Anolis sagrei: one gene and its partners. The protein of the gene in region 2 interacts with the protein of the main gene of each other region in a pairwise test. Links are inferred from orthologs where the notes say so. Each region holds a gene or a part of one and is shown on either strand. Other genes may lie near its edges.

Region 1 (7,568 bases), about 59 Mb from region 2:
TTGTATTTTTACTTCTGTTTTATACCAACATTGAATATTTGCCTTTATTATGCTGGAAGCCGCCTGAGTCCCCTTGGGGAGATAGGGCGGGCTACAGATATATTATTATTATTATTATTATTGGAGGTCCAAACACCTGGAGGACCAAAGACTGTGCAAGTCTGGTGTAGATGCACCCAGAACAAGGGACACCGGTGGAACGTAGTAACACTACTACTAATTATTATTATTATTTTATTTATTACCCACCTCTCCTCATGTCTCAAGGCGGGATTCAAAATAAATGAAAACACATCAACATTGCAGAAACAGTACAGGTACATAAAGGCCCTGAGTCCCTTCAGGGACATAGGACGGGATATAAAGTTATTTTATTATATTATATATATTATTAAAATGTATTTCGACAAGCACTCTCACTGTGCCATAATAATAACTTTATTTTTATACCCTGCCTCAATCTCCCCAAATGGACTAGGGGGAACTTACATGGGGCCAAGCCCAACAAAACAGTTAAAACATAACACATTAAAATGCATGTCAACAAAACAACAACAACATTAAGCGGTATATAAAACAAACATCAAAACCAAACAACCAAAAGCAAAGTTCAATGTCTTGTCATGGATGGTGCCACAACATTAAAGGAAAGAGCTAATGATAGAACTAATGGGTAAAGTGCAAATATCATATAGCAGCAATGAGGATAAGAGCGATTTATCATCAAGGATTTGGATAAACATTGTAAAGTGCTTGAGAACAAGATTCTTGGATCTTAACTGGGGCCAGCTGTCCAGGGAATTGCAATGGGTGTAAGCAAGAAGGGCAGGATCCGAGAACTGGGAGAGATCCCTACACCGCCCGAGCCCTCCCGACAGATGGCCATGCAGCCTATGCTTAAAACCCTCCAGAGAAAGAGATTCTGCAGAACTTCAACTGCCAGGAGGTTCTTCCGAATGTGGAGGTGGAATCAGACCACAGAGCAGCTCGGGCAAAGTTTCTCCCTCCAGGTCTTTTGGACTCCCAACTCCCACAATTCCTAACAGCCTCAGGCCCCATCCTTTTCCCACTCAGCCACTTATGGAAGTCCAAAACACCTGGAGGGTGCAAGTTTGCCCAGGCCTGGCTTAGAGTCTCTTCCAACTCAGGCCTTGTAATGTGGAATGAGGCTGAGGAGGAAAAGGAAAGGGCCTGAGGCTGCTGAGGGGGGAAAGGGCCCGAGGCTGCGCAAAAGGAAAAGGCCTGAGGCTGCTGAGGAGGAAAAGGAAATGGCCTGAGGCTGAGGAAAAGGCAGGGCCCTGAGGAGGAAATGGAAAGGGCCTGTGGCTGCTGATGAAAAGTAAAAGGCCCAAGGCTGCTGAGAGGGAAAAGGAAAGGACCTGAGGCTGTTGAGGTAAAAAATGGAAAGGGCCTGAGTCTGCTGAAAAGTAAAAGGCCTGAGGTTCCTGAGGAGGAAAAGGAAAGGCCGTGAGGCTACTGAGGAGGAAAAGTAAAAGATATGAGGCTGCTGAGGAGGAAAAGGAAAGAGACTGAGGCTGAGGAAAAGGCCTGAGGTTGAGGAAAAGGCAGGGCCCTGAGACTGCTGAGGAGGAAATGGAAAGGGCCTGTGGCTGCTGATGAAAAGTAAAAGGCCTTAGGCTGCTGTAGAGGAAAAGGAAAGGGCCTGAGGCTGCTGAGAGGGAAAAGGAAAGAGGCTGAGGCTGAGGAAAAGGGAAGGGCCCGAGGCTGCCGAGAAGGCAAAGGAAAAGTCCCGAGGCTCCTGAGGAGAAAAAGGAAAGGACCTGAGGCTGCTGAGAAGGAAAAGGCCTGAGGTTGCTGAGGGGGGAAAGGAAATGGGATGAGGAAAAGGCCTGAGGCTCCTGAGGAGGAAGAGGAAAGGGCTTGAGGCTGCTGAGGGGGGAAAGGAAAGGGCCTGAGGCTGCTGAGGAGGAAATGGAAAAGGTCTGAGGCTGCTGAGGAGGAAATGGAATGAGGCTGCTGAGGAGGAAATGGGAAAGACCTGAGGCTGCTAAGAAGGAAATTGAAAAGGCCTGAGGCTGCTGAGAAGGAAAAGGCCCGAGGCTGCTGAAGAGGAAATTAAAAGGGCCTGAGGCTGAGGAAAAGGCAGGGCCCTGGGGCTGCTGAGGAGAAAATGGAAAGGGTTTGTGGCTGCTGATGAAAAGCAAAAGGCCTGAGGCTGCTGTAGAGGAAAAGGAAAGTGCCTGAGGCTGCTGAGGTAAAAAAAAAAGAAAAAAGGAAAGGGCCTGAGGCTGCTGAGGAGGAAAAGGAAAGAACCTGAGGCTGCTGAAAAGTAAAAGGATTGAGGCTGCTGAGAGGGAAAAGGAAAAATCCTGAAGCTCCTGAGGAGGAAAAGGAAAAGAGCTGAGGAAAAGGAAAGGGCCTGAGGCTGCTGAGGAGGAAAATAAAAAGGCCTGAGGGTGCTGAGGAGGGAGAGGAAAAGGCCTGAGCCTGTCCCGAATTGTGGGAGTTGGAGTCCCAAAGAGCTGGAGGGAGGAAGCTGGCCCAAGCCCGGCCTATCGAGTCCAGCCCATGCGCGCGGCCTGGCGAGGCCTCCTTACCAGAGCCGAAGCCCACCCGCACGGCCACTGGCCCCGGGCGAGGAGGGAAGGGGCGAGGAGCGGGGTCTCCTCAGACCCAGAGAAAGGAGGGGCGGGAAGCGGAAGTGGGGAGGCGGGACTTCCGCCGCCGCAGCGCCGCCTGCCCTAACGCGAGGGGGCGGGGCCGGCGAGGGAGCCGAGGAGGGCGGGGGGAGGGGTCTCCTAGGCGACGGAGCGGGTGGGCGTGGCCCCGAGGGAGCGGGCACGGCGGGAGGGGGGCTTCCATGGCAACGGGAGGGGGCGTGGCTTACCTTTTGCTGGGGGAGGGAGGGGGGAAGAGGAGGAGGAGGCGTGGCCTCGGCGCGGATCCGCGTCTCTCTCTCTCTCTCTCCTTCTCTCTCTCTCTCTCGCGGGGAGCTCCGTCCTCCTCTCGCCGCTTGTTTGTGTTTGTAACCAAAATGGCCGCCCTCCTCCTTCTCGTCACGTGACGCGACTGAGCCTAGCGCGCATGCGCAGACCAGGGGGAACAAGACGAGTGGGGCGGGGCTTGAAGGGGAAAGAATGGAAAGGGTGGTACTGCGCAGCCGCAGAAGATTCGAACTCGCTTTTTCTGTGTACGCATGCGCAACCTAGGAAAAGCCTCTCCAAGGGGGTTTTCTTGCACGCATGCGCAACCTAGGAAAAGCCTCTCTCAGGGGTTTTCTTGCACGCATGCGCAAACTAGGAAAAGCCTCTCTAAGGGGTTTTCTTGCACGCATGCGCAAACTAGGAAAAGCCTCTCTAAGGGGTTTTCTTGCACGCATGCGCAAACTAAGAAAAGCCTCTCAGGTGTTTTCTTGCACGCATGCGCAACCTAGGAAAAGCCTCTCTGAGGTTTTTCTTGCACGCATGCGCAAACTAGGAAAGGTCTAAGGGGTTTTTCTTGCACGCATGCGCAAACTAGGAAAAGCCTCTCAGGTGTTTTCCTGCACGCATGCGCAAACTAGGAAAAGCCGCTCTAAGGGGTTTTCTTGCACGCATGCGCGAACTAGGTTAAGGGAGTTTAAATGTACGCATGCCCAGAACGGTTTGTACTTGGTATAATCGTCTCGCCGCTCTCATCCGCGCGTGCGCAAAGCGGCGCAAGGGCATTTGTACGAGATCGGAGGAGCGGTGTCCACGTGACCTTGCCTGCCTGCTTTGGCGCGCTCTCGCCGCTAGAGGCGCGCTCCCGGAGAGAAATGCCGAAGGGGATTGGTCGGCCCTCGCCCTCGTCACGTGATCCCCGCCTGGGCCTAGCCCGTGACGTCATCACCACCTCTCCGCCATCGAGTCGCAAAATGACGTCAGCAAAAGGGGACGTGGGCACGAAATATTTGTACTAAAGGTCGGATTGCATCGGAATAATAGACCATAGTTCCTCTCAAAGTTGCAGCACGTTTACTCCATTAATTACCTGTTTTCCTTCATCCAAAAATTACCTCAGCTTTACTCCAATATTACCTCAGGTTCGCTTCAATATTACTTCGGGTTTACTTCAATATTACCTCATATTTGAGTTGTTGTAGGTTTTTCAGGATGTCAGGCCATGTTCCAGAGGCATTCTCTCCTGACGTTTCGCCTGCATCTATGGCAAGCATCCTCAGAGGTAGTGAGGTCTGTTGGAAGTAGGAAAAATGGGTTTATATATCTGTGGAATGACCAGGGTGGGACAAAGGACTCTTGTCTGCTGGAGCTAGGTGGGAATGTTTCAACTGACCACCTTGATTAGCATTTGATGGCCTGGCAGTGCCTGGGGAAATCTTTTGTTGAGAGGTGATTAGAGAAGCAACTGGAACCAGGAAAATGGGTTTATATATCTGTGGAAAGACCAGGGTGGGACAAAGGACTCTTGTCTGCTGGAGCTAGGTGTGAATGTTTCACCCTAATCACAACCCAGTGATTCCAGCCATGAAACTCTTCGACAATACCTCATATTTACTCGAGCATTAGGCATGAGAGGTGGGTCCGGAAGCAGCTCTGAGCCTTACGCTCTTTCCACTTCGCTACTTTGGGAGCCCTGTTTGCACAACACAGAAAGGAACACAGGCATTGCAGAAGGAATGTCAGAGTTCTTTAATGATAAAACCCTAACCCTAATCCCTTAACCTGAACCCTATCCCTTAACCCTATTCCTAACTCTTAACCCTAATCCTAATTCTAACCTAACTGTAATCCTAAACCAAACCCTAATTCTAACCCAAACCCCAAACCTTACCCTAACCATAAACCCTACCCTAACCCTAATCCTAATCCAACCCTAAACCTTACCCTAACCCAAACCCTAATCCTAACTCTAATTCTAACCCAAACCTGAAATCTAACCCTAATTCTAACCCAAGCCCTAAACCTTACCCTACGCCTAAGACTAACCCTTAACCCTAATCCTAACCGTAATCCTAACCCTGATTCTAACCCAAACCTAAAACCTTACCCCAAGCCAAACCCTAACCCTGAACCTAACTGTAATCCTAAACCAAACCCTAAACCTTACCCTAACCCTAACTGTAATCCTAAACCAAACCCTAAACCTTACCCTAATCGTAAACCTTACCCTAAACCTTAACCCTAATCCTAACCCAAACCCTAATTCCAACCCTAAACCTTACCCTAACTAATCATAACCATAAACTTAAACCTTAACCTTAATCCTAATCCAAACCGTAATCCTAATCCAAATTCTAACCCTAACCATACCCTAACCCTAAGTCTCACCCCTAACCCTAACCTTACTAAACCTTTCTATCCTTTCACCAAATGCAACTACGAAGTATATTCCCGCCCTCAGTGTCCCATTCTCCCCTTCCCTTATTCAGAACCACTGTTGCGGAATGGGCGTAACGCTTGGCGCTTCCAGACCCAGCTATCATACTCTCACCGAGCATTATCTCAAATTTACTTCAGCATTACCTCAGGTTTACTCCCATATTAGCTCCAGTTTACTCCAATATTACCTCAAGTTTACTACAATATTGCCTCATATTTAATCCATACATTACCTCAAATTTACCCCCACATTACCTCAGATTTACTTCAGTATTACCTCAGGTTTACTCCCATATTAGCTCCTGTTTACTCCAATATTTCCTCAGATTTACTGCAATATTGCCTCATATTTACTCCATACTTTACCTCAAATTTACCCCCATATTACCTCAGATTTACTTCGGTATTACCTCAGGTTTACTCCCATATTAGCTCCAGTTTACTCCAATATTACCTCAGGTTTACTGCAATATTGCCTCATATTTACTCCATACTTTACCTCAAATTTACCCCCACATTACCTCAGATTTACTTCAGTATTACCTCAGATTTACTCCCATATTAGCTCCTGTTTACTCCAATATTACCTCAGGTTTACTGCAGTATTGCCTCATATTTACTCCATACATTATCTCAAATTTACCCCCACATTACCTCAGATTTACTTCAGTATTACCTCAGGTTTACTCCCATATTAGCTCCGGGTTACTCCAATATTACCTCAGGTTTACTGCAATATTGCCTCATATTTACTCCATACATTACCTCAAATTTACCCCCACATTACCTCAGATTTACTTCAGTATTACCTCAGGTTACTCCCATATTACCTCCGGTTTACTCCAATATTACCTCAGGTTTACTGCAATATTGCCTCATATTTACTCCATACATTACCTCAAATTTACCCCCACATTACCTCAAATTCAGTATTACCTCAGGTTTACTCCCATATTACCTCCCGTTTACTCCCATATTACCTCAGGATAACTGCAATATTGCCTCATATTTACTCCATACATTACCTCAAATTTACCCCCACATTACCTCAGATGTACTTCAGTATTACCTCAGGCTTACTCCCATATTACCTCCTGTTTACTCCAGTATTACCTTAGATTTACTTCAATGTTACCACAGGTTTACTCCAATATTATCTCAGATTTACCCTGGACATTATTCCACAGGTATAGTATATACACTCCACTTGCCTCCCTTCCAACAGAGCTCTGAACAAACTTCTGAGGATGCTTGTCAAAAATGCAGGTGGAACATCAGGAGATAATGCTACTGGAACATGGCCATACAGCCCAGAAAAGTCAGGGCAACCCAAATTAACGTTTACTACAACTAGAAGTAGAAGGCCTGAAATTTGGGATTTGTACCTAGGTTCTGAGAGTGCCTTGGACTGCGAGAAGATCCAACCAGTCCATCCTCCAGGAAATAAAGCCCGGCTGCTCACTGGAAGGAAGGAGACTAGAGACAAAGTTGATGTCCTTTGGGCACATCATGAGGAGACAGCAAAGCCTAGAGAAGACAATGATGCTGGGGAAAGTGGAAGGCTAAAGGAAGAGGGGCCGACCAAGGGCAAGATGGATGGATGACATCCTTGAAGTGACTGGACTGACCTTGAAGGAGCTGGGGGTGGTGACGGCCGACAGGGAGCTCTGGCATGGGCTGGTCCATGAGGTCACGAAGAGTCGGAAACGACTGAACGAATGAACAACAACAACAACCTACCTATGGCACTATTTTAATAACCACTACATAAGGAGATGGCAATGAGAAGCATTGGACCTTGGAGCCAGGGATGGTGTTTCCTAGAGGAAACATTCAAGTACAGGTGTGGGCCAACTTCAGCCTTCCTTCCAGGTGTTTTGGACTTCAACTCCCACAATTCCTAACAGCCTATCGGCTGTTAGGAATTGTGGGAGTTGAAGTCCAAAACGCCTGGAGGACCCAAGTTTGCCCATGCTTAATAGAAAGTTCTGAAGAAGAGGCAAGACCAGAACCCTTCCACGCTGGAAGAAGGATTCCAAGATTTCATCTTCCATGGCCTGAGGGCAAAGTCTCCTCGGCCTCACCTGGAGACGGGACTGTTGTCCTCAGAGGCTGAGACAGGCCGGGGAAACATGGAGACTATAAATAAAACTTGGAAGATGCAACACGACTATAAATGAAACGTGAAATATGTTTATCGGCCCCACCTGGTTTATGGCCGAGGTGTTTTCCTCGGGAGAGAAGGGA
Region 2 (7,297 bases):
CAGGGGGGTTGGACTGGATGGCCCATGAGGTCTCTTCCAACTCTAGGATTCTATGACAGATGGCCATCCAGCCTCTGTTTAAAAGCTTCCAAAGAAGGAGCCTCCACCACACTCTGGGGCCAAGGCATGTAGCCGGGGGGGGGGGGTGTTTGAGGGGCTTTAGCCGCCCCCCCCCCCCAAATTCTCATGGTGGCCCTCGAGAAGGCCTTACTGGTGCATTATTTAAACTGTTATGTTTATTCATATCACGATCTGATCACCATGCTCAATATGGGGGTATTGGTGTTACAATACAAAAGGTTTGCTAGGGTAGACCCTCTTTCACTCAGACTCAGCCCCCCCCCTCCCCGAATCAAAATCCTGGCTACAGGCCTCCCTGGGGCAGAGACAGGCCCGTAGCCAGGAGCTGAGTTTGATTCAAAGGGGGGGGGGGGGGACTGAGTCTGAGTGAAAGAGGGTCTTTACAAAAGGTTTGCTAGGGTAGACCCTCTTTCACTCAGACTCGCCCCCCCCCCCCCCGAATCAAGCTCAGCTCCCCCCGAAACATAATCCTGGCTACGGGACTGCCTCTGCCCCAGACAGGCCCGTAGCCAGGATTTTGATTCGGGGGGGGGGGGGGGAGTTTGATTCGTGGCAGGGGGCTGAGTCTGAGTGAAAGAGGGTCTACCCTAGCAAACCTTTTGTATTGCTACTCCAATAACCCCATGCATATGGGATATATTGAGCATGGTGATCAGATCATGATATGAATAACATAACAGTTTAAATCAGTGGTTCTCAACCTGGGGGTCAGGACCCCTGGAGGGGTCACGAGGGGGTTTTAAAAGGGTCGCCAAAGACCATCAGAAAGCACAACATTTTCTGTTAGTCATGGGGGTCCTGTGTGGGAAGTTTCACCCAATTCTATCATTGGTGCAGTTCATAATTCTCTGATTGTAGGTGAACTATAAATCCCAGCAACTACAACTCCCAAATGGCAAACTCTATTTTCACCAAACTCCACCAGTGTTCATATTTGGGCATACTGAGTATTCATGCCAAGTTTGGTCCAGATCCATCATTGTTTGAGTCCACAGTGCTCTCTGGATGTAGGTGAACTACAACTCCCAAACTCAAGGTCAATGCCCACCAAACCCTTCCAGTATTTTCTGTTGGTCATGGGAGTTCTGTGTGCCAAGTCTGCTTCAATTCCATCGTTGGTGGAGTTCGGAATGCTCTTTGATTGTAGGTGAACTATAAACTACAACTCCCAAATGACAAAATTAATCCCCCCAACCCCACCAGTATTCAAATTTGATCCAGTGATGAAAATACATCCTGCATATCAGATATTTACATAATAACAGTAGCAAAGTTGCAGATATGAAGTAGCAATAACAATAATTTTTTGCTTGGGGGCCACCACAACATGTGGAACTGTATTAAGGGGTCGTGACATTAAGAAGGTTGAGAATCACTGGTTTAAATAATGTACCAGTAAGGCCTTCTTGCGGACCACCATGAGATTTTCGGCTACATGCCCGGCTACATGCCTGGGCAGAGAGTTCCACAGATGAACGGCTCTCAGTCAGGAATAAATGTTAACCTGCACTGGTCATCTTCACTTCAGGCAGTGTATGCAAAATACACAGAAAGAGTGAAAAGAAGAGACTGGGCTGCTCTCTCTTTAAGTGGAAGGACCAAAGGATGCAACAAGTAGAAATCAGCATGTAACAAGTGGGAGAATTCAGAAACAGGGGCTCGAAGGAGACACAGACACCAAAGCGAAGGCAGAAGGAATCAACAGCTGTCACAGGACCAGAAAGAAGAAGATTCCTCCCTCAAAGCAACCAGTGGTTCCTTTTTTCCCTGCACTCTTGGAGGGAAGGTGGCCAATCCTCCTCGGGGGTGATCAAAGCAGCCCAGGCCTTGCCTCAGAGTTTGCCCTGGCTCTTCCAGCCCCGCACGCTGGAAAGTTTTGCAAAGCATTCCTCACTCTTTTGGGGGAAGACGCCACCAGCACAATGGGAGCGAGACCAAGCAGACCCACCTTGGCATCGCCTTTACAAAGTTGAAAGAACAGCTATACGAGGCGTGCATTGCATTACCGGGTGGGTGCAGAAGTCCTGGCTCCGTCCTTCCTCCTTAAATCCGGGGAAGTGCCCACATTCGATTCCCCCCTCCCCTCACCTCCCCTCAGTACACGCGCGCGCGCCGCATTCCCTCCCTTCAGGAGAAAGGCGAAAGGGAGCGCGCGCCCGCCACCGCCGCCCCTGATTGGCAGAGCCGGGCAAGCCCCTCAGAGCTCGTTGCTTAAGGCCAGGGGCGGAGGGGGAGGGGAGGGGGAGGAAGGGAGAGAGGAGGAGGAGGAGGAAAAAGGCTGGCTCCACCCTGGTTTATGATGCAATGTGGAGAGGGCACCCAAGCTCCGGCCGGGAAGGGAAGTTTGCACGCCCCTCACGAAGCGCAAGGGAAGGGAAAGGAAGGGGGGCAAGTTGAGAACCACCCTTTCCCCGAGCGCGCGCACACACACACACTCTCTCTCTTTGCTCCCGAGAAGGCACGCGCCTGGCGTCCTCTCGCGAGCCGCAGAAACAACTCCCAAAGTTCGTCCCGTGCGAACTGCGCGCGAGGAGGGAAAGGGCCACGACGCCCTGCGCGCGCGCGCCCCTCCTGCTTCCTGTCAAGCCCCTCCGCGACGGGTGACTTACCTGCAAAGTCAGTCAGAGAGTGATTGAGGGAGTGAGCGGCGCGCTCGGCTCCCGCTCCTCCTCCTCCTCGTGGCCTCCCTTTCCGCCTGCACCTCCCTCTCCTGAGCTGATTAAGTTTCTCGCAGCCTGGACTTGGCAGCGCGAGGGGAAGGAAGGGCGCCTGCCCTCTCCGGGAACTCTTTCCTGGGGAAACGAAGGGGAAGGAGACGGAGGGAACCGTCTGGTCTGGCGCCCCTCCTCAAGGAAGGTTCCGCCTGGGAAGCCTCGCGCCAGCTGACTCGCCCACCCCTCTCTCCCTCTCTCTCGCTCCCTCTCTCTCCTCAGGCGATGGCCCCTCCCCCTCCGGGGCGCGCTAGCCCCGCCCACGGTCCCTCCCTCTCTCCCTCTGCCGCTCGCGCACGCAGTCGCAGCTCGCGCCGGAGCCGAGGCCAAGTTTGGCTCGGGATTCAGGCTCGCTCGGGAAGTCCCTCAGACGTCGGGAAAAGAGGGCCTGGGTCCCTCAAGGGGCATGGCGGAGTGGCTTCTGAGGAAATATGCCTCTTTCCAACTTTCCCCGCCCCTTTTCCGCCAGGGGAAATGTCTACACCGCCCTAGCTCTATACCTCAATACAACACCGCCTGAGCTCTGCGAGTGCAGCATTTTCCGAATGAAGCAGAGAGTATTATCGAAGGCTTTCATGGCCGGAATCATTGGGTTGTTGTAGGTTTTTTCGGGCTGTATGGCCATGGTCTAGAGGCATTCTCTCCTGACGTTTCGCCTGCATCTATGGCAAGCATCCTCAGAGGTAGTGAGGTCTGTTGGAAATAGGAAAATGGGTTTATATATCTGTGGCATGACCAGGGAGAGACAAAGAACTCTTGTTTGCTGGAGCTAAGTGTGAATGTTTCAACTGACCACCTTGATTAGCCTTTGATGGCCTGGCAGTGCCTGGAGCAATCTTTTGTTGAGAGGTGATTAGATGTCCTTGTTTGAAGTAGAGCTGCTAGAACAAGAACAAGTCACGAGAATAAAGACGAAGATCCACCCACAGGAAAAGTGTTCCTGCCATACATCAAGGGAACCACTGACTGCATAGGGCACCCAAATACCTGGGAGTCACCCTGGATCGTGCTCTTACCTACAAGAAGCACTGCCTGAACATCAAGCAAAAAGTGGGTGCCAAAAACAATATCATACGAAAGCTGACTGGCACAACCTGGGGATCACAACCAGATACAGTGAAGACATCTGCCCTTGCGCTGTGCTAGTCTGCTGCTGAGTATGCATGCCCAGTGTGGAACACATCTCACTATGCTAAAACAGTGGATGTGGCTCCTAATTAGTACTTCTCTAACTACCTTTGATGTAGAAGCCCTCGTTACATGGCCAATGATTAATAAATCAGGGAGTTGATATCCAAAATGTCTCTTATCAGAAGTAAGGAAAGGGTTACGTCAGCGTGCAGAAGAAGTAAAGACCACCAGCACTGAAGCAAGCGTCTGGAGAACAAGCCCATGAGGAGAGGCTTAAGGAGCTGAGCATATTTAGCCTGAAGAAGAGAAGACTGAGAGGAGATATGATAGCCATGTATAAATATGTGAGAGGAAGCCACAGGGAGGAGGGAGCAAACTTGTTTTCTGCTTCCCTGGAGACTAGGACGCGGAACAATGGCTTCAAACTACAAGAGAGGAGATTCCATCTGAACACGAGGAAGAACTTCCTGACTGTGAGAGCCATTCAGCAGTGGAACTCTCTGCCCCGGAGGGTGGTGGAGGCGCCTTCTTTGGAAGCTTTTAAACAGAGGCTGGATGGCCATCTGTCGGGGGTGAATTGAATGCAATATTCCTGCTTCTTGGCAGGGGGTTGAACTGGATGGCCCATGAGATCTCTTCCAACTCTTTGATTCTATGATGGTCCTCCAGGAACAGCCCTCCCCTTGGCTGAGAGGCTGGCCAATCACAGCTTTTGGTGGGTGAATTCGCTGTCTGTTTCCAAAAAGGAAGAGAAGAACAGGCAGAGAGTTCTTCAGCCTTCTCTGCCAAAGATTCCTAAGACCATCAGAAATATGTTTTCTTATGATCTCTGATGACCCTTCTGAAACCCCCTCGCAACCTCTGCAGGGGTCCCAGGTTGAGAAACACTGTTTTAGAAAAGAGCCAAAAACTCATTTGAGTAGAATCCTCTCAAATGGAATGCAACCAAAGGTAATATGCAAGGTGATTGGCTTCAGTTATTAGACTGAGTGACCTTTGTCTCTGATCTGATAGGAAACAGAGAATATGCCGGTGCATTAAAATAGCAGTTCTTCCAAAGGGTCTACTCTCCCATAAACAACTTGTTTTATAGTATGCATACTAGAGACACATTAAAGTAGACTTTGGTAAAAAAATAATAATAATAACATCTGGTTTAATCACAACCTTCATTTGTTCAGCATACACAATTTATCAGTCAGTTACAGATATGTTTGAGATAGTTTCTGTCCGATCCGGTCAGAACACCTCTCATAATAATCCACAAGCATTTGCAAGTATGCAATCTGAGCAGTCCAAAACTCTAAAGAAGTCTGTGCTCGGCCCAGAGTGGATCATGTGGTCTGCAGCCCCTCCCACAACTTCTCAGGAAAAACATAGAGCAAAGAAAGAAAGCTGCATAGCAGAACATACATCCAATGAGGAAGCAACAGGATTGTAGATGATCAATTTACTAGAGGAGGTTTTAAGAAGGTTGTAATTTCCAACACGGCTAAATAATTTTAGACCAAAAACAGGCAACAGCTACTGCATTATCTGTGGTTTTAAACAGTTCTTCCTTTGTGCATGAGGCAGGGCATTGTGGACTAACATAGGCAGAGGCGACCCTAGGTAATTTTCAACGGTAAGCAAACAGTATTTTGGTGCCCCCCCCCCCCAACCAATCACTGGTATATATATATATATATATATATATATATTCTGTTCGTTGTGGGAGTTCTGTGTGCCATATTTGGTTCAATTCCATCATCGATGGAGTTCAGAATGCTCTTTGATTGTAGGTAAACTATACATCCCAGTTCTGTTAGAAATGTAATATAATTTGACTGGTTCTGTTAGAAATGTTATATAATTTGACTGGTTGTTCTGACACGACAAATAAATATACATCCCAGTAACTACAACTCGCATATGTCAAGATCTATTCCCCCCCCCCCCCCCAAGAGCGCCTCAAGAGCTCCCCTGGGCAAAATCAACTATACTGCAAATGCTTACTTTGCGTAATGGGTTGAGCCGCCCCTGCATATAGGTGCTGAGTTGTTTGTCCTGCTCCTCGAATCACACAAGGTGGAGGATTCTTCTAGGTTGTGCCATTTAGCCATGTTGTCTTTTGATCTGCCCACTCCACTTCTGAGTCTGTTCAGGGACTTCCGACTTGTCCATTCTTGGTTTGCCCCTGGAGGAAGACCCTCGTGGGGGGCCACCTAACTGGAATAGCCTGTTGCTGGAGGAACATTAGGACGAGTAGTGGTTCTCCTGAAACTTTTTCTTGATTTGAGCCTACTGGGAGGAGGCTGAGAGCCATGCAGTGGATGGCTTTCACAGTGTTCAACCTTATTTCTCTCATAGTTGGCAACAACTTCCCATAGCACATCCGGGGGGGGGGGGGGGGCAATGCTAGCTAGCTTATAGAGCAGGCATGGGCAAACTTCAGTCCTCCAGGTGTTTTGGACTTCAACTCACACAATTCAAAACTGTAGGAGGTGAAGTCCAAAACACTTGGAGGAGGGCCAAAGTTTGCTCATGCCTGGTACATATAAATGAAACCTTTACTGATCATAAATCATAGATTTCTTTCCAAACAATTGCATATCATTTTTACTCTGTGTCAAAGGCAAAAGCCAATTTGCATACCAATGAGATGGATACATATGAAATCTTGGCAGAATATTTGATCCTGCAGCATGGAAGACAACTTCCAACATTTTTCATGCCTGGCTTATAGCTTCAAGTTGGCACGACTCTATTTTTTTCTCCTTGATTCATGTAAATTCCTAAAATAACCACTAGTTGGCAGGCTGCACAGATTTCTCACAAGTTTCCACTCACAATCACTCGCTTGATTATCAAGCAAAAAGTGTGTGATACAGATAATATCATACAAAAGCTGACTGACACAGCCTGGGGATCACAACCAGTTACAGTGAAGACATCTGCTTTTGCTACTTTGCTGCCCAGTGTGGAATACATTCCACCGTGTTAAAACAGTGGATGTGGCTCTTAATGAGATATGCCACATTATCATAGGATGTCTCCTAAACCGCTGGAGAAATTATACTGTTTAGCTGGTATTGCACCACCTGATATCCCCCAGGAAGTAGCAACCAGTAATGAAAAGACCAAGGCATTGTCAGCTTCGGCCCATCCTCTGTTCAGATATCAGCCAGCATGCTAACGTCTTAAATCAAGAAACAGCTTCTTAAGATCTACAGAGATGCTCGAAGGAACACCTCAGCAAGCGAGAGTCCAAAAGTGGCAGGCTGAAACCCAGAACTTCAATCAGTGGCTGATACCGAATGAGAAACACCCTCCTGGGCACACAGAAGACTGGGTGACTTGGAAGGCACTGAACAGACTGCGCTCTGGGAACACAA
Region 3 (7,564 bases), on a different chromosome or scaffold from region 2:
GGGAACTGAAGACCAAAACACCTGGAAGGGAGGGACCAAGTTAGCCCATGCCAAGTCCAAAAGACCTGGAAGGGAGGACCCAAGTTGGCCCATGCCTTCATCCTCTTGGCAATGGACACTTCAGTCAATCAAGGGATCATCTGAATACACACATTATGGGCAGTGAAGTCCAAAACACCTGGAAGGGAGGGCCCAAGTTGGCCCATGCCTTCATCCTCTTGGCAATGGACACCAGTCAATCAAGGGATCATCTGCATACACACATTATGGGAACTGAAGACCAAAACACCTGGAAGGGAGGGCCCAAGTTGGCCCATGCCTTCGTCCTCTTGGCAATGGACACTACATTCAATCAAGGGATCATCTGAATACACACATTATGGGAAGTGAAGTCCAAAACACCTGGAAGGGAGGGCCCAAGTTGGCCCATGCCTTCATCCTCTTGGCAATGGACACTACAGTCAATCAAGGGATCATCTGCATACACACATTATGGGAAGTGAAGTCCAAAACACCTGGAAGGGAGGGCCCAAGTTGGCCCATGCCTGGTATAGCAGCTTGTCCTTCCAACTGATGGAGGAGACAATATGAGCTAAAAATAAACACATGTGTGTGTGTGTTTTCTGGGTAAATGCCCGGAAAACATGTGTGTGTGTGTGTGTGTTGTTTATTTTTAGCATGTGTGTGTGTGTGTTTTCCGGGTAAATCCCGGAAAACTCACAGCAACCCAATAAACCCAATAAATATAGCCGCCTGTCCTTTCATCAATCCCAACTCCTGGTAGAGGAGATGGAATTAAAAATAAACTACCCCCCCCCTTAACAGACACACACACATAAATATATAGGTATGTCTATGAAACACTCACTTTTTCCATTTGCTGTCCCGAAGCAAAACGTGGTCAAGATCAGCAAAAGCCCCCCATATAAGGTCAGGGACCCTCCTCCAGCGCCAGGCTTCATTCCTCTCTTTTTGTCCTTCTGGGTTGGGAGCAAAACTGGCCTTTGGGAAGTCCACAAAAACAGAAGAATCTAACAACAATACTAATCAATCTGTACAGGGTTTCCAGAGAAGCGGTGGAACTCTTCTTCCCCAACCTTGTTCCCCCAAAAAAGAAGGATTTTCTCTCCAAAAGGCTCCTTTTGGAGAAAGGAGGACAAGAATACAGAGAGAGAGAAGCGTTTGGGAGTCCTTGGATGTTTCCCTGGTTTGGTTCTTTCTCTTTCCTTTGGGGAGGCCTCTGCCAGGGGAAGAAGGAAGGGAATGGAGGGAGGAAGGAAAGGCAGGGATGGGGGGTCTTTTGGAGAGGCCAAAAAGGGGTCTTTGGCCCCTTTTTTCTCTTCGAGGAGGGAAGATCCCGGCGTGCGCCTCAGCCTCGCCTGCAGTCATCCAGGAGCAGCAAACATGTCACACGTTGGAGCAAACAGTCCGCATCTTCGACCTCCATCTTTTTTCTTCTCCTCCTCCTCCTTCTCCTTCTTCCTGCCGGGCTTGCCTTCTCCGCCCTACCCCCACAAACAAATAAACAAACAAATAAACAATCAGGAAAACACCAACACGGATCCCTTCTTTGCCTCCTTCCTCTCTCTCCAAGCCTCCTGTGCGCAATGCAAAAGGCCTCCTTGCTTTTACGCACGACTTCTCCTTCTCAATCTCCTTTGGAAAAAACCCCCAAAATGCAAAAATGGAAAAAAATCCCCAAAACCCCAAAGAGGAAACGCAGGGGAACGATGAGGGGGTGCTTTCCTTTGGAGAAAAAAAAATGACTCAATCCAATATTTCTTCCAATGGAAGGAAAGAAAGAAAGAAGGAAGGTTGTTGTTGTTTTTGGAGAGGTTCCTTTCTGGTCCTTCTTCCTGACTCCTTTCTCTCTCTCTTCCCTTTGTATTTTTTCGTCCCACCAAAAAGCTCTAAAAGGAGGAGAAATAGAGGAACGACTGGGGGGTCGCTTTCCTTGGAAGGGCGGGGGGACAAATTCAATCCAGTATTTCTTCCAATGGAAGGAAAGAAGGAAGGTTGTTGTTGTTTTTGGAGAGGTTCCTTTCTGGTCCTTCTTCCTGACTCCTTTCTCTCTTCCTTTTGTATTTTTTCGTCCCACCAAAAAGCTCTAAAAGGAGGAAAAATAGAGGAACGACTGGGGGGGTCGCTTTCCTTGGAGGGGGGGACAAATTCAATCCAATGGGAGTGGAAGGAAGGAAAGAAGGAAGGAAGGAAGGCAAGGCGGATCTTGTTGTTGTTTTGGAGAGGTTTCCTTTCTGGCGCGTTTCCCCCTCTTTCAGACGCCTTTCTCTCTTCTTTTTGCCCCCCAAGAATGGAGGAGGCGTCCTTCAAAGGGTCCGAAGCCCCTTCCCCATCTTTCCTCGGCCTGTTTTTGCCAAATGCGGATCCTAAATGCGGAATGGCGATGAATGGAGGGAGGAGACGCGGCGCGCCAAAGGCTTGGCTTTCTCTCTTTCTCTGTCTCTCTCTCTTTCCCCCTCCTTTTTTCCCAGGCTCCTTCCCAAATAGGAAAAAGGAGGGAAAGGAAGGGGGGGGGGGGACCAAAGGAAGGGGCACCTCCCTCTGGAAAGAAAAAAAAAGAGGCAAATAAATAGGGAGGGAGTCCCTTCTCCAAACGCCTCCCTTCCCTTCGGAAAGGCGCCTTTGCAAACAACGCCAGGCGAGGCTCGAGGGAGATCCCGGAGGCGGATTCCGAAGCTGGGTTTCTCTTTCTCTCTTTCTCTCTGTGTCTCTCTTTCCTTCCCTTCTTCGCCTTCTCTTCCCAAAGAAGCAGAGGAATGAATGGTGGGAGGAGGAGGAGGATCCGGCGTTTGGCTGCTGAAGGTCAAATCCTGGGGAGCAGCAAAACCAAAGCAAGGAAGGAAGGAAGGAAACAAAGCCAAGCAGCACTGTTCTCCCTTGCTTGCTTGCTTTTCCTCCCTCCCTCCTTCCTTCTCTCTCTCTCTTTACCAGAGGAGGGGGCCTACCAGGCCGGAGAGTCGCCCTCCGCAGCAGTAGCAGCAACAACCTCCGCCTTCCTCTCTTCCTCCTCCTCCTCCTCTTCCTCCTCCTCTCGACTGCGGAGGCTGGCTTTTTCCACGGCGCCGCCTCCTCCTCTTCCTCCTCTCCTCCTCTTTCTCCTTCCTCCTCTCCTGACTCCCAGCCGTAGCCCAGGCTTTCCCCTTCCTCCCCCCCCCCCCCCCGCTTTGGGGTTGCAGGCCTCCAAAGTGGGTGCACCCCCCCTCCCCGACCGCCTCTCCAAATGCGCAAAAATAGAGACCCCTCTCTCCCTCTCCAAAGGAAAACGCCCAAATCTGGATATTGAGAGTTTTGCAATGCTTATAGTAGTGACTGAGAAGGGTGCTTAAGACTTTGAAGGTGACAAGAAAGGAGGCTTTCTCCCAAGTCTTTGGGGATTTGGGGGTCTTGCAATGCCATGATGGAGACTGAGAAGGGTGCTCCAAACGCTGAGGGTGCCAAGAAAGGAGCCTTTCTCCCAAGTCTTTGGGCATTTTGGGGGGGGGGGGGGTTGCAGTGCCATGATGGAGACTGAGAAGGGTGCTCCAGACTCTGAAGGTGCCAAGAAAGGAGGGTTTCTCCCAAGTCTTTGGGCATTTGGGGGTCTTGTAATGCCATGATGGGGACTGAGAGGAGTGCTCCAGACTCTGAAGGTGCCAAGAAGGGAGCCTTTCTCCCAAGTCTTTGGGCATTTGGGGGGGGGGGGGTTTGCAATGCCATGATGGGAGACTGAGAGGGGTGCTACAGACTCTGAAGGTGCCAAGAAAGGAGGCTTTCTCCCAAGTCTTTGGGCATTTGGGATCTTGCTATGCCATGAGGGAGACTGAGAGGGGTGCTCCAAACTCTGAATGTGACGGAAAAGAGGCTTTTCCCCAAATCTTTGGACATTTGGGGGGGTTGCAATGCCATGATGGTGACTGAGAAGGGTGCTCCAGACTCTGAAGGAGCCAGAAAGGAGGGTTTTTCCCAAGTCTTCAGGCATTTGAGGGGTTGCAATGCCATGATGGTGACTGAGAGGGGTGCTCCACACTTTGAAGGTGCCAAGAAGGGAGACTTTCTCCCAAGTCTTTGGGCATTGGGGGTTTACAATGCCATGATGGTGACTGAGAAGGGTGCTCCAGACTCTGAAGGTGCCAGAAAGGAGCCTTTCTCCAGTCTTTGGGCATTTGGGGGTTGCAATGCCATGGTGGTGACTGAGAAGGGTGCTCCAGACTCTGAAGGTGCCAGAAAGGAGCCTTTCTCCAGTCTTTGGCCATTTGGGGGTTGCAATGCCATGGTGGTGACTGAGAGGGGTACTCAAGACCCTGAAGGTGACAAGAAAGGAGCCTTTCTCCCAATTCTTTGAGCATTTGAGGGGTTGCAATGCCATGATGGTGACTGAGAGGGGGGCTCCAGACTCTGAAGGTGCCAGAAAGGAGGGGTTTTCCCCAAGTCTTCAGGCATTTGAGGGGTTGCAATGCCATGATGGTGACTGAGAGGGGTACTCAAGACTTTGAAGGTGCCAAGAAAGGAGGATTTCTCCCGATTCCTTGGGCATTTGGGGAGTCTTGCAGTGCCATGATGGAGACTGAGAGGGGTGCTCCAGACTCTGAAGGTGCCAAGAAAGGAGGCTTTCCCCCAAGTCTTTGAGCATTTGGGGTCTTGCAATGCCATGATGGTGACTGAGAGGGGTACTCAAGACCCTGAAGGTGCCAAGAAAGGAGACTTTCTCCCAAGTATTTGGGCATTTGGGGGTCTTGCAATGCCATGATGGTGACTGAGAGAGGTACTCAAGACCCTGAAGGTGCCAAGATAGGAGCCTTTCTCCCAATTCTTTGGGCATGGGGGGGGGGGGTCCAATACCATGATGGAGACTGAGAGGGGTGCTCCACACTTTGAAGGTGCTTTTTTCCCAAGTCTTTGGGCATTTGGGGGTTTTGCAATGCCGTGATGGAGACTGAGAGGGGTGCTCCAGACTCTGAAGGTGCCAAGATAGGAGCCTTTCTCCCAATTCTTTGGGCATTGGGGGGGGGGGGGGGGTTCCAATTCCATGATGGTGACTGAGAGAGGTACTCAGGACCCTGAAGGTGCCAAGATAGGAGCCTTTCTCCCAATTCTTTGGGCATTGGGGGGTGGGGTTCCAATGCCATGATGGAGACTGAGAGGGGTACTCCACACTTTGAAGGAGACTTTCTCCCAAGTCTTTGGGCATTTGGGGGTTTTGCAATGCCATGATGGTGACTGAGAGGGGTACTCAAGACCCTGAAGGTGCCAAGAAAGGAGCCTTTCTCCCAATTCTTTGGGCATGGGGGGGGGTCCAATACCATGATGGAGACTGAGAGGGGTGCTCCACACTTTGAAGGTGCTTTTTTCCCAAGTCTTTGGGCATTTGGGGGTTTTGCAATGCCGTGATGGAGACTGAGAGGGGTGCTCCAGACTCTGAAGGTGCCAAGATAGGAGCCTTTCTCCCAATTCTTTGGGCATTGGGGGGTGGGGTTCCAATGCCATGATGGAGACTGAGAGGGGTACTCCACACTTTGAAGGAGACTTTCTCCCAAGTCTTTGGGCATTTGGGGGTTTTGCAATGCCATGATGGAGACTGAGAGGGGTACTCAAGACCCTGAAGGTGCCAAAGCGAGGAACCTTTCTCTCTTTGCAGTCCTCTCCCTTAATTACAACACGAAATAAACACCCAGGAGGATAACAATCAGTAAGGTGCATCCAAACATTATTGGGGTTGGAAAGCAAGGGCTTTGCATCCTAACAGGGAAGACTAAATCTCGACTAAATCGGAAGCGTCTATTATTCTTAACTTCTATAATAACTTCATCATTCATTTGTTTCTCTTAACTTCTTTGCAATCTGATAACATTTCTATTACATACAATTATCTCTGTTTGTTTCTATTACATCTTAAACACATATGATAGGAAACACAACACCCCCCTCCCCTTTTATTTTTCTCCTTTGCTTGCGTTTCGGGAGCGCGCACGCACAAACGCACGCCTCCGCCACCGCTTTGCTTTTTGCAAGAGACGGAGCCTGGATTTCTCTCTCCTGGAGCACAAAGGAATGGAGCCTAGCAGCCCCTTATCCACGAATTCCATATCCGCGGGGCCTGGCTACTCCTTGGAGAAGTTTTCTCCCACTCCAAAAAAAAAGAAAGGTACCTAACTGCCTGTATAAAAGTGCTTCGGTATTACTATGCTGTTTTTTATGTATATGTGTGTGTATATAATAATAATTAATAATAATTATTATTAATTAATAATAATAATTAATAATAATTAATAATAATACTTTATCCCCAAAGGGATTTGGGGCGGCTTATATGAGGCCAAGCCCTACAATACATACATCAGTAAATCAACACAGCAATAACATAAAAGCCAAAAAAAGAGAAATCTATATACATAAAAATGTAATGTTCGTTTGTGGGATTAACAGAACTCAAAAACCACTGGACGAATTGACGCCAAATTTGGACACAAGACACCTACTAACCCAAGAAATGATCATCACGAAAAAAAATTGATTTTCTCATTTGGGAGTTGTAGTTGTTCGGATTTATAGTTCACCTCCAATCAAAGGGCATTCTGAACTCCACCAAATCATGGAATTTTACCAAACTTGGCACACAGGACTCCCCTGACCAACAGAAAATACTAGAAGCGTTTGGTGGGCATTGACATTCGTTTGGGAGTTGTAGTTCACCTACATCCAGAGAGCACTGTGGACTCAAACAATGAAGGATCCAGACCAAACTTGGCATGAAAATTCCATATGCCCTAATATGAACAGAGATGGCATTCAGAGGAAATAGACCTTGACATTTGGGATTTATAGTTCACCTACAATCAAACAGCATTCTGAACTCCACCAAATCATGGGATTGAACCAAACGTGGCACACAGGACTCCCCTGACCAACAGAAAATACTAGAAGGGTTTGGTGGGCATTGACGTTGGGTTTGGGAGTTGTAGTTCACCTACATCCAGAGAGCACTGTGGACTCAAACAATGAAGGATCCAGACCAAACTTAGCACGAATATTCCATATGCCCAAATATGAACAGAGATGGAGTCTGGGAGAAATAGACCTTGACATTTGGGATATGTAGTTACTGGGATTTATAGTTCACCTCCAATCAAAGAGCATTCTGAACCCCACCAACAACAGACTTGGGGCAAACTTCCCACACAAAACCCCCATGGCCAGCCATTCCAACTCCCTTCACCAGGGCAAGAAAATGTAATCAAAGGCCTCCTGACAAAGAGCCATCCAGCCATAGATGTAGATAGATATATATGATTCACACACAGAGAGATATAGTATCATAGATTTGAAATATAGTATCATGAATATGATATATTATCATAGTATCATAGATTTGAAAGGGACCCCTTAAGATGGACAATTATATGTTGCATGTTCCAAAGTAGGCAAACCAGATACTCTCCACATCAACACTGACAAAGACACAGCAAGAAATGCTGTTTACCCACAAGCATCAAGGCATTACATATATTAGAAACCAACACTTTCTAATTACTTCATTTTCCAGATCACCAGACTGGGCCACAGCAAC

The links.
Region 1: the proteins of GRB10 (region 2) and GIGYF1 interact in a two-hybrid assay, tested with the Homo sapiens proteins (2 studies listed by BioGRID). The link is inferred for Anolis sagrei from reciprocal best matches to the Homo sapiens genes GRB10 and GIGYF1.
Region 3: the proteins of GRB10 (region 2) and IGF1R interact in a two-hybrid assay, tested with the Homo sapiens proteins (4 studies listed by BioGRID and IntAct). The link is inferred for Anolis sagrei from reciprocal best matches to the Homo sapiens genes GRB10 and IGF1R.

What each region holds. Positions count from the first base shown.
Region 1 is NC_090026.1:2,531,338-2,538,905, reverse strand, and holds the start of GIGYF1 (GRB10-interacting GYF protein 1), read right to left. Parts: upstream 3,017-7,568; 5' UTR 2,849-3,016; intron 2,646-2,848; exon of another isoform or gene 2,559-2,645; intron 1-2,558. UniProt on the Homo sapiens protein: May act cooperatively with GRB10 to regulate tyrosine kinase receptor signaling. May increase IGF1 receptor phosphorylation under IGF1 stimulation as well as phosphorylation of IRS1 and SHC1.
Region 2 is NC_090026.1:61,950,800-61,958,096, reverse strand, and holds the start of GRB10 (growth factor receptor-bound protein 10), read right to left. Parts: upstream 3,015-7,297; 5' UTR 2,691-3,014; intron 2,141-2,690; exon of another isoform or gene 2,030-2,140; intron 1-2,029.
Region 3 is NC_090029.1:14,282,380-14,289,943, reverse strand, and holds the start of IGF1R (insulin-like growth factor 1 receptor), read right to left. Parts: upstream 3,017-7,564; 5' UTR 963-3,016; coding exon 869-962; intron 1-868. UniProt on the Homo sapiens protein: Receptor tyrosine kinase which mediates actions of insulin-like growth factor 1 (IGF1). Binds IGF1 with high affinity and IGF2 and insulin (INS) with a lower affinity. The activated IGF1R is involved in cell growth and survival control.